2 linked regions of the Arabidopsis thaliana genome follow. The protein of the gene in region 1 interacts with the protein of each later gene in a pairwise test. Each region holds a gene or a part of one and is shown in the gene's direction. Other genes may lie near its edges.

Region 1 (8,024 bases):
TATGGTCATCAACAAATATAAGCTTAGGAGTAATATCAAGAGCTTCAATCTTTCGGGGATGGGCTGCAGCGCGGGCCTGATCTCAGTTGATCTAGCCCGCGACTTGCTCCAAGTTCATCCCAATTCAAATGCAATCATCGTCAGCACGGAGATCATAACGCCTAATTACTATCAAGGCAACGAGAGAGCCATGTTGTTACCCAATTGTCTCTTCCGCATGGGTGCGGCAGCCATACACATGTCAAACCGCCGGTCTGACCGGTGGCGAGCCAAATACAAGCTTTCCCACCTCGTCCGGACACACCGTGGCGCTGACGACAAGTCTTTCTACTGTGTCTACGAACAGGAAGACAAAGAAGGACACGTTGGCATCAACTTGTCCAAAGATCTCATGGCCATCGCCGGTGAAGCCCTCAAGGCAAACATCACCACAATAGGTAATAAACACACATCATTTTATTTCACCTACATATATACACTAACAATGATATACACGGTGAAAACTATATCAAGGGGTGGGCATTAAATATTATTGGTCGGCTCCGTTTTGACTTCAATTCGGTTTTAAATAACAGAATAATTACTCTATCTCTATATATGTTTTGTTATTATGGTTAAATGTACTTTCTTGGTATATGTCTCACTTCTATGGAAATTTAGGTTACTCTATTCGGTTGCATTCAATTCGGTTTGTTCGATATAAATTTTATTATGATTTAAAGCAAAGTTTGGTTTGGCTTAGGTTTAAGGAATTATGGTACGTTTTTGGTTTTGATAGATGAATTTGTTTGAACAGGTCCTTTGGTCCTACCGGCGTCAGAACAACTTCTCTTCCTCACGTCCCTAATCGGACGTAAAATCTTCAACCCGAAATGGAAACCATACATACCGGATTTCAAGCTGGCCTTCGAACACTTTTGCATTCACGCAGGAGGCAGAGCGGTGATCGACGAGCTCCAAAAGAATCTACAACTATCAGGAGAACACGTTGAGGCCTCAAGAATGACACTACATCGTTTTGGTAACACGTCATCTTCATCGTTATGGTACGAGCTTAGCTACATCGAGTCTAAAGGGAGAATGAGGAGAGGCGATCGCGTTTGGCAAATCGCGTTTGGGAGTGGTTTCAAGTGTAACTCTGCCGTGTGGAAATGTAACCGTACGATTAAGACACCTAAGGACGGACCATGGTCCGATTGTATCGACCGTTACCCTGTCTTTATTCCCGAAGTTGTCAAACTCTAAACTGAAAACGTCTTTGAACGGTTTAGTAACGGTTTGATTTTGTGTTACGGTTTAGGTTTATTTGGTCTCGGGATTTGGTTTAAAGGGGATTGAGAAATGGGAAGTTAGAGAGAAGAAAAAGCAAAGCATAAATGTTTGTATTTAATTGCTCTGCATATACTTAAATCTCTGCTTTTCATTTGGGGTATTTTTTAGTTTCTCGTGCTGTAATTAATAACTTGTGGTGTACTCAAATAAGAATATTTCTCTCTGTTTTATTATTTTTAAATTGGAGAATAAACTTCTTTGTTTTCATCGCTGCCTTATATATATTGCTTCTGATTTGGGTTGACCATCCATCCAGTTTGCAGGATCCGATAGCAGTAAATATGTCCACTATGAATGTGGTGCATGGACAGTCATCTCTTACAGACTTTTGCATGTAAAATTATATGTTGCATGCATGATGGTATGTAATGAATGGATTGGATGATGTCATGACTCATGATGATTAAAAAATACGTGAGTCCATATATTTCTCCAATAGTATTAAAATACGAGTACATCAAACATGTTTTCCAACACTGCCACAAAATGTATTGGACCTATATCAATAAGTGGGCCTTGATTTCCCAGCTTATGATGGCTTAGGTTTCATTGTAAATGGTGAAACAGGCCTTCCTAGTGAGGATGCAGGTCATCAATAGCAAGGTTTACCAACGGAGGTTTAATCCTCATGAAGTGATGAAGAAGATGTCGAAGAGTTGGAGTTTGAGAAGAGATGTTTGGAAAGGTATTCTAAGAAGGATGCAGAGGATGATAATGAGATTGATGATGTTAACGACGTTGATCAACAAGCGCTTTTGCCATCAGTCCGTACGTGACCCTAAACTGTGGCTGGTGAAATGTGGCGTTATGAGTTTTTGTTCTCTATGAATTCCAAGTATTAAGGATATCTCAACAGACAGGACAAAAGTTTAAGGTTAATGATCTTTTATCAAATTCAATCAATAATCAGTCTCCGAAATCTTAGTGTATACAAATGGCGAAAAAAATATAAACATCATTTTCCAAGTACACGAATAATGCCAAGAGTGGTAAATGATATCCATCAAGCCTCTTATCTTCTCAAGAAAAAGGTTGATGCCTTTGTTTTTGAAGTTTTCTGCATATTGATGTGGTCCAGCACAAACCATTGTTATCCACTTTATCTTTTATTTTTCTTTAACCCCAACGTTTTCTACTTTAGCACTTCTACTTATCTCTAGTAATTCTCCATTTATCACTTCTACTTATTGTCCACTTGATTCTTGAGCTTCATATTGTTGAATTCGTTTCTACTTTTCTGCCATCTTCTCTTTATATGCTTAAATTGTATATTTTTACGCTTGCTGTATAGTTTTTTAATGATTATCTTTAGTCCTAATAATTGGGGATTTAATTGATTTTTTTCCTTTGTATAAAAATATACAGTAAAGATATTAATACAATTTCATTGTCTCTAAAGTTTTAAGATAACTATGTAGAAAATAAAGATGTAGACATATCATACTATAATTAATGTCATTACTCATTATCTTTAAACGTAAACCGACACAACCAATCAAAACCTCGCTTTCCACATAATCACGAGAATAAGCCACACTAATCGACTTTTTCCATGGAAAATAATGAAATCTACCAAAAATGAATGAATGGTAACAAAATCCAAAAATAAGGAGTGATTGGGTCAGTGAAAACGACAAGTGGACCATAAAGATATCCATCTGATTAAGAAGCTGACCAATCACAACATTAAGAATAGGATCAACTTGAAGAACTCGACCAATCAGAATCGAGATAAGATCTCTTCATGGCCCTCATGGGGTATAAGCAACCAAAAAGGTGCATCAAATTTTCACTTTAAATTATACAAGAAGAAAAAAGCTCACATCGTGTGGGACATGTACTAGCCAACAACGCCTCTACACTTAACCCTTCAATGCCTCATAAAATGAAAATGTAGTCTCTCTTTTTATAACCACTTCTCGAAAACTGAAACCTTTGTAGAGAGAACCCATAGTTCGATAAAACATTCTTTTTGCAACTGAGACTTGGCAACTTGGTTTTACTCAAAGTAAGATTTCTTCTTGTTGATGGTGATAAGTTCAATATGATGAAAAGTTTGGCTAGTGCGGTTGGAGGGAAGACGGCGAGGGCATGTGATAGCTGCGTGAAGAGGCGGGCACGTTGGTATTGCGCAGCTGATGATGCCTTTCTTTGCCATGCTTGTGACGGTTCGGTCCACTCGGCAAACCCTCTTGCTCGTAGGCACGAGAGAGTTCGCTTGAAATCGGCTAGCGCCGGAAAGTATCGCCATGCCTCGCCGCCTCACCAAGCCACGTGGCATCAGGGATTTACACGTAAAGCTCGGACCCCACGTGGAGGCAAGAAGAGCCACACGATGGTTTTTCATGATCTTGTGCCGGAGATGAGCACGGAGGATCAAGCGGAGAGTTACGAGGTGGAAGAGCAGCTCATATTTGAGGTGCCGGTGATGAACTCGATGGTTGAGGAGCAATGCTTTAACCAATCCCTGGAGAAACAGAATGAGTTTCCAATGATGCCCTTAAGTTTCAAGAGTAGTGACGAAGAAGATGACGACAACGCTGAGAGTTGTCTGAATGGTTTGTTCCCAACCGACATGGAACTAGCTCAGTTCACAGCTGACGTGGAGACTCTACTCGGTGGAGGGGATCGAGAGTTTCATTCCATAGAAGAACTAGGGTTAGGTGAGATGTTAAAGATCGAAAAAGAGGAGGTGGAGGAAGAGGGAGTTGTGACAAGAGAAGTGCATGATCAAGATGAAGGTGATGAGACATCCCCATTTGAAATAAGCTTTGACTACGAGTACACACACAAGACCACATTCGATGAAGGAGAAGAAGATGAGAAAGAAGACGTGATGAAGAATGTGATGGAGATGGGAGTGAATGAGATGAGTGGTGGGATTAAAGAAGAGAAGAAGGAGAAGGCTCTTATGCTTAGATTGGACTATGAATCAGTCATTTCCACTTGGGGAGGCCAAGGGATCCCATGGACCGCCCGGGTGCCATCTGAAATAGACCTCGACATGGTTTGTTTCCCAACCCATACCATGGTACGTCTATCACGCATTGCCTTGTTCTATCTACTATATTTTATACGACCGGATAGTTTATGACTAAACTCAAACAAATATCATACTAGCAACAAGTTTTTATCAATGGACCGCAACCTTTGTTATTACTATTTAGTTTTGATATAAAGAAAGCATTGTCTCTAATTAACAAAATTTATTTGTGTTGTGAATATTAAGGGTGAAAGTGGAGCAGAGGCTCATCATCACAACCACTTCCGCGGCCTAGGGTTACACCTAGGAGATGCTGGGGATGGAGGAAGAGAGGCTAGGGTTTCAAGATACCGAGAGAAAAGGAGGACAAGGTTGTTCTCCAAGAAGATAAGGTACGAGGTACGTAAATTGAATGCAGAGAAAAGGCCTCGCATGAAAGGAAGGTTCGTCAAGAGATCTTCAATTGGTGTTGCTCACTAAAGAACTTAATTAATTATGGATATTAAATTACTTTGCTCTCATCTTGCTTTTTTGTTGCTATAGTTTTGGTGATTGTTAGCTTTCTTTTTCTGCATTCATAGAGAATTTTGCACGTTTTTGTGAGCTACGTATGTACATAAATATATCACCAAAAAATGTGACTATCTTGTAAGCACTGATTTATATAGTCGATATAACGTGAATTTTGATTGCTGGTAATCTGCTGTCACCAAAATAAACATATGGATTGTCACAACTCACAAATATCCCACTGAAATATCTTAATTTGTTTTATTTTATTCATATCAGCTATAATATTATTAATTTATCAAATTGTCCGCAGCTGAGGATTTGAATCCAAAATCTTCTCAAAACATTAAGGTACACTATAGTTTTTTCTGACAATGGTTCAGTTTTTAGTCATCAGAAAAATTCGTTTAACAACAGGTGTTGAGGGACACTTGAACAAACAATAACAATTATAAATTGAATTGTTGCAATGGAAAACACTGATCGGGAGATATCTTTATTCTTTACAAAGTTATTTCCAATATCAATTTTTCAAGAGTTAAGTAGAAGAGTACTTGGCTTGGGAAAATTATAATTTTGTAAGAAAAGTGATATGAAAATTATATAATTGTGTGGTGTTTTGTATTTCAGATTTTAAATTGGTTATAGTTGTATTTATGCAATCAATTTTTATCTTCTTTTTTTTCATAATTTCCTTTGTTTGTTGTACTAAATAGCCTAATATTAACCTTATATATGTTCAAACCAACAAATATGTTTTCACACTTTAAAGCAGCAGTAATTTGGCAACACTTAAGAAGAAAATATCCAAGATATGATTTGGCAACACTTTAGAAGAAAATATCCTTCAATATCTTGGATCGTGAGGCCCTTTGGACATATTAATGATGACAATTTTGAATTGATAGAAAAAACAAGTTAAGGGTTTGTGCTTTAACGTGTTTGGTCCTTAGTCATAGTGTCATACGATTCGAGCTGCTGGGGACACTCTTTCGCTTCTGAGCTGGTTTGAAGTGGGCACTCAGATATTATTACTCAGAAACAATGAAATAATTGTATTTAGTCCTGCATGGCTTTTCATTCATAACAAAGTAATATCATATAAAATAATATATTAATTAAGGACAAAAGAGAAAAAAAAAACTAATTTGAAACAGAGTGAGTTTATGATAACCTAATGATTGACAATAATACTAAATTTGATTTGCTTTAGTTTTTTTTTCTCCTTTTATATAGAAAGTGAAATTATTAATTAAAAAGACAGAATTATGATAATAATAATGCAATCTTCTGGTTCTAACCAAGTCTGAGCTCTAAGCCAACCTCGTTGATATCGACTTGATCATCAAACCCAAGATTTGGAGAACTTTGATTAAATGGAGCTTCCCTTCGGCTCTCCACATTCTCCAACGTGAAGTGGCCATAACCATGCGTAGCACTAGAACTTGGGAGTTGCCACATGTCATGACTACATTCACCTAGTTGGTTCACGGATTCACGTTTGAATCGGCCAGTTTGCGTCTTGCTCTTGTTAGCGTTTACACGTGTGGCCAGATTCTCCGAACTGTCGCCGCCGGTTGTTGGATCTTTAGCCACGTGGCGTATATCGTAAGTCCTGTGGGGAGGAATGATCTGGTGCGACGCGGATGCACTTGGAAGAGGTGTGTGAGTTATGGGTAAGCCGTTGAGCACGGCGTCAACAGCTGCTTGGCACTGAGCCCAGTTCCCTGACCACATCAAACCAACCGAACCATCTACAGGGTTCACGATCCGACCACAAGCCTCGTACAGAAGTGACCTAAATATTGCTACAAAACACAATGAAGGTAATGTAATCAACCGGGAAAATGAAAAACATATGTGTGATGTGATGTGTGTCTGTGACTGTGCATGTAAGAATTTTATGTTAAAATCTATAATATACATTTAGATCCTAGTTTGATACTACTCTGTTACCAAATCTTGAAGATCTCTCATAATCCAAAATACATCGTCACTTTTTCTGTACTATTTACTCGCAAGATAATTCAATGGACCGTTGTGTAGTAAAAAAAAAGGTAAAAGAGATAATTCAGTACCGGGACGAAGGTGATCAGGACCGGATTCGATGAGGTTAAGAAGACCGGCTCGACCGTAGAACTTAGCAAGGAAGAGTGTAGCATTGGCTTGAGAGTCTGCGGATTTGATCCATTGAAGGCATGGTCGAATGGTGCAATCTTGGTTGCAACCTTTGCGTAGAACCCTACACCCGTTGCAGCTGATTCTCATATTCCTTTATATGTTTATTAGTGACAAATATACGTATGATGTGTGTTTGTGTTCGGAAATGGAACTCAAGGAAGTTGTGAACAATTTGAATTTATAAGGAAGAAGTTACTCATGAGTCATAAGTGAATGAGCTGGTATTTTTCAACTTTTGTGTGTTCTTGGAGAAAGTGGTGGAAAAAAACTGGTGCAGTCCAGGCTTTTATAAAACAAATACATTAAAGATAATTACTTTCTCAAGAGAGAAATTAGTAAAATATTTGTATAGATTTCTCAAAAGATAGAGAAAAGGCCAAGAAATGAGGGGAAGGAGGTTGTGTGTTTCAGTGAAGTTGGCATTTTGTTTTGGCAAAAGTTGGGGAGTTCCTTCTTCGGGAATACCAACTTCTCTCTCTTACACTTTTTTTTCTTCTATGGGATTTGCCATCCATGCATTCCAATATTACGACTTTTACCACTCACCTAGTCACCTTTATCTATAGTATAGTAATTAATTACGTCTCACCCAATGACAAACCTCTTCTTCAACGCTCGTTTCTCAATCCTCATCATATCAACATTGATTCCAAGGTCTTATGACTCTCTATGCAGTGCAAGCTACTTTTGAAATTCAAATTAAAGCATGAAAACCATAAGATAAGAGATGAAAATGTGAGGGTGTTTACGTAATTGAATGTTAGCAGATGTTCAGAGGGGTGGAGATACGAGGAAACTTTGGAGATGAAAAGTGGGAGACATGCACGAGAACCACCCACAGAGATGATACCGACAAAAAAAAAAAAACCAAAAGAAAATCTTTAAGTCTTAAAATCTTCTGAAAGAGAAAATAAAAATATTAAGCAAAAATGAGGCACGTGAATTACACACACGCGAGACAAAACTCCTTGTTCATCTTCAAGCATATTTCTACTCCAGGTTTTAGGGAGGCTATACG
Region 2 (4,739 bases), 3.6 Mb from region 1:
GACAACACTTTTTAATATATATTTTTTGCAATTTTAAAATATAATTTTGATGGCACACTACTGATAATCATGAGTCAGGTAAATTACTTTATCATGAAGATATTTCCTTAGGATATCCGAATTTGCGGTTCTATTTATAATAGGAATTGATTACGTCATGTGAGTATTTGCATATTCTTGATTTTACGGACCAATAACTCGAAAATGGGTCCATAGTTACTGTATATCGTTTGGTAATAACTGTGATCATTAAAATCGTAATTTGAATAAAATGTGTATAGTAACATAAAATATCGCACGATGGTCTCTGTATCTCATGTATTACATTTTAACATTTACTTAGCGTGGCTGAAATTTGGGATTGCAGTGATGGTTGATTTACCGGTTGTTCGAAATGTAAAACTACCATATGAATCTTATAAGCCACTGCAATTTACATGACGTATCACATTCACATATATTAGAGAAACTTAGATTCACTAGGTTAATTAGTGTTTCTAATTACAAAGTAGAAAAAAGTTTGAGATCATATAACATAAAATATTGTAGTCTTTTAGTAAAAGTGGTTGTAATACATGTGCGATAAGATTGTTTTTTAATAAATCCTTAAATGAGCCCTATAATTACTACTCATGTTATAACGAGCTAATAGAACATTACTTGACTATTACTTCACTACTTGTCGAGTTGAAGCTATATATTTGCACCTCTTGGTTTTGTTGTTGGTTTTCATATTTCTTTTTGAATTGTTAAACCTCGTATATGGTTTTCTGAAATCTTTATGTCCCGTGTCTTTAAATTTTAAATCTAAAATTTACTTTAAGAAAAGTACAATAACAACCCTATAAAAATTTGAGTCAATTGAGACGGAAGAACTATGTACTTTATAGATTTCTCAGTATTCTTCCACTGATAATAATCAGATATATAATCATTCCTAGAAATCTCACTTTAGTTCGTCTTATAATCAAACCCTAAGTCCTAGCATATCTCTTCCATACGTAGTCATCATTAAAGTGGTGTTTTTAAGATATTTTTTTCCCCCTGGAAAAGATAACGTTAGTTTTATAAGATAAAAGAAGATGATGATGTAAGAAAACAAATACTTTAGGGGAAAGAGAGATAAATGACAATCATTGTGTGGTTGAACGTATAATATAGTTACTAAACAACAAATAACTAATGAGCTATAGGGGTCGAAGTTTGACAACAACAACAACAAAAAAAAGAAGCTATAGGGGTCGAAAAAACTTTCTTGCATTGTGGATAATCTCTCAATACCAAAAGTAGATTTTGCTGGTAACGAATATAGTAGTCACAATTGTCCATTTCAGATGGGAGTGAATTTCCCATATGGGTTCTTTCGTGAAGGAATGGGTACATTATATTTGCTATTCAAGAACACTAATGGGACGACCCATTCTTAGCCCTGAACCAATCTGCGACATGAACCGGAGTTCAAAAGAACCAAATCGGTACTAACCGAATGAATCATGCAAAAGTAAATAAAAACAAAAATAAAATGTCAAGAGAAAGCATTTAAGTCCGTGAAAGTGAGAAAAAAGAGATAAGAAGTTGCAGTGTCCCTTGTCCACCCAATCCACAATTTCTGTTTTTATTTATCTTTTTTTTTTTTGGGCTATTTATCTACCTATACTTTTGTTTATTTCTTTGCCCAAAAAAAAATACTAGCTTTTTTTTTGTCTCCAATTTCTAAAGTATTATTTTATTTTTGTTTTTTTATTCTTCATGAGTGGTACCAAAATTGATTTTTTGGATCTATTAGTTAGGTTATCTTCAGCTATCTCTGATTTTTTTTCTTATATTCGTCTAAATCTATATACCATATCGTTTTGTCCATGGTCCAAGTTCAACGTGCATTAAATGTTATATTCGGTCGAATTTGAAAATATGCAGAATAATACATAAGCTTCGGTGGTTGAAGTCTTGAAGATGAACTCATATCAGTATGACTAATATAGTACTATTTGGTACCCATTGTTATAATTTCAGTGTTAAACGTTATCTATACAAATGAGCAAAAGGGAAATATACACACAAAAAATCAGTACTAACTATCTTTAACATCATTTTTTCAAGTATATGCATGATGTTTATATCGAATTATGGGTAGTTGGACAAAAATAAACCTCTGTAAGAAAATATCGAAAAAATATTAGTTACCTATCGTTACGAAATTGAAACGTTACAACTTACAAGTGAAAAACGACTCGAAAAATATTACTTTGAAAATCTGCCGTTTCAAACTAATATTTTTCTCCATTCTTACAAACGTTACAAACATATTAAATTATAAATTAAACAAAAGAAGACAACACCTTACGTTTCTTTTTCAGAAAGTGCAATTTATGTAACTGATATTTTTTATTTGATTACACAAAAAGAAACTTATTAACTTCGGAACGATAAGTTATTCTTTGACAGTAGTAGTATAATCAAGTCCTAAATAAAAGTCAAACGCTACAACATTCGATGATTAACTGCTAAAAACTATGGTTTATTGGCTTATCACATGATCTAAAACGAGTAAGAAAATTAAATGCAACTTAAATTATATGAATCAGTAAGAACAAAAACAATGTCAAAATCATCGGTCCCTGATCTCCGGTGCCGGCACCCACCCGTTCAAATCAACTATTTAATTTCCGACCATCCTATTACTCTATTCCATTAAATTTTTAAACTCCAAAAATAACAAAAATTAAATAAAGTAAACGTCAGAGATGCCCCAGGCAACCACAGTCAAATTTGCAACAATATGGTTACAAATCTTTAAATAATATTATTATTCTTATCATTAATCAACTCCCAAATGACAGTCCAATTAAATAATCACAAAACATCATAAAAGTGACCAAAATTAAATAATAACAATTGTTTTTTGGGTTTCACATGTTTTATAAGCAAAGCCAGTGTGGTGGACCTAACTCTTCACGCTGTCCCGAAAAAGACTCTTCTCTTCTCTCTTCCTCTTTCCTTCACACAACTCTCTCATTCTACTCTCTGTTTTTTTTCTTTAATCATAACATTTTTTTGAAGAACAGAGATTCTTTTTGTTTGTGTAAGAGATGGGAAATTGTCAAGCGGTTGATGCGGCTGCGTTGGTTCTACAACATCCTGATGGCAAGATCGATAGATATTACGGTCCTGTATCCGTTAGTGAGATCATGCGTATGTATCCTGGTCACTACGTTTCTCTTATTATTCCTTTGCCGGAGAAGAATATTCCGGCGACAACAACAACAACAGATGATAAGAGTGAGAGAAAGGTTGTGAGGTTCACGCGCGTGAAACTTCTCCGACCAACGGAGAATCTTGTACTTGGTCATGCTTATCGTCTCATCACTTCACAAGGTTTGTTCTTGTATATTTGTTTTTGTTTAGCTTGTGTCTGTTTGTGTTCTTGTAATGGGTTTCTGATTAAATTAGCGTTTGATTTGTTTTCAGAGGTTATGAAGGTTTTAAGAGCCAAGAAGTACGCGAAAACAAAGAAACACCAAAGTGAAACGAGTAAGGAGAAGAAGAAGCCATCATCGGAGAAGAAGATTGATGAAGAATCCGACAAGAATCAGAATCTGGTACGGAATCTTTACTTAGAATTTAAGATATGGTTTAGCTTCAAGAATCAATTTTCACTCGAATAATTAAAGTAATTAGTTTAAAGATTTTACTCTATTTCTTTCCCCAAATTAATATAAAATTATGAAAATTAATGGGTTTGTGTTTTTCTTTGTATAGGAAACGAAAGATGAGAAGCAACGTTCAGTGTTAACGAATTCAGCTTCATCGAGATCAAAAACATGGAGGCCATCATTGCAGAGCATCTCTGAAGCTACGAGTTGATGTTTGGGTTTTACGTGAGGGACAAGAAACGTAGTCTCTGTGTGTGAATCATTCAGAAGATGGAATCTGAAGAAGAAAGAGATATAAACATTATTGAATAAACTCTTCTCTTATGTTCCTTTCTGGTTATAATTTACATAGGAGATGAAAATTTTATAGATTAAGATGTAAAAAGAACTATGCAGAGATTAAGAACTAAGTCCCTTTTTTGTCCTGTTAATGTATATATGTGCTCCATGTGAAGAAATCAATCAAAAAATAGATTGTAAAAACATACGTTTTTGTTGGTGTTTACTGGTTTACACAAATTCTTGGAATAAAGTTCAAAAAACTTTAGTTAAATGAGTCCAAAAACATTTGATTTAGATGGTTATGTGAGGTATAAATGGTTGTAAGAATTGCATTGAGTTGGATTGATCATTGGTAGGTACACATCCTTTCATGCATTTATGGGATGGTTTTTTAAGAAAATAACCAATTTTATTTGAGATTATTAGTTATTTTTCTTCAGAGAAGTAGTAGACTTTCTCAAAATTTATATTTCTTTGAATGGAAAATCAAATTGAATTTACATTGTCTTTTTTTTTTATAACTACTTTTTTCATTTTTTTAGCAAATAGTATAACATAGATGAGCTAAGTAAACCAACAAGGATGGGCATTTGCATCAAACCCATACCAAACCAAAAAATTGAACCGATATTATGAATCAAGAATTTAAGATATCCTTGAAATAAAAAATCTGAAAATCCAACTGAAGCCAGCCAATGTTTTTAGACTCTATAAAAAGATATCTGATTAATAAATTGTTACTTTTAATTTTAATTTTTTTTTAATCCAGAAAACAAAAAATCAATGGTCAAAACATACATAGAA

The links.
Region 2: the proteins of BBX14 (region 1) and AT1G60010 interact in a two-hybrid assay, tested with the Arabidopsis thaliana proteins (one large-scale study listed by BioGRID).

What each region holds. Positions count from the first base shown.
Region 1 is NC_003070.9:25,706,102-25,714,125, reverse strand, and holds BBX14 (B-box type zinc finger protein with CCT domain-containing protein), read left to right. Parts: upstream 1-3,136; 5' UTR 3,137-3,376; coding exon 3,377-4,363; intron 4,364-4,561; coding exon 4,562-4,795; 3' UTR 4,796-5,951; downstream 5,952-8,024. Other genes in the region: KCS6 (3-ketoacyl-CoA synthase 6), read left to right, coding at 1-437, 797-1,245; AT1G68526 (uncharacterized protein), read left to right, coding at 1,888-2,096, 2,176-2,257; LBD42 (LOB domain-containing protein 42), read right to left, coding at 6,122-6,633, 6,904-7,093.
Region 2 is NC_003070.9:22,094,785-22,099,523, reverse strand, and holds AT1G60010 (D-ribose-binding periplasmic protein), read left to right. Parts: upstream 1-2,903; 5' UTR 2,904-3,089; coding exon 3,090-3,375; intron 3,376-3,468; coding exon 3,469-3,599; intron 3,600-3,759; coding exon 3,760-3,864; 3' UTR 3,865-4,239; downstream 4,240-4,739.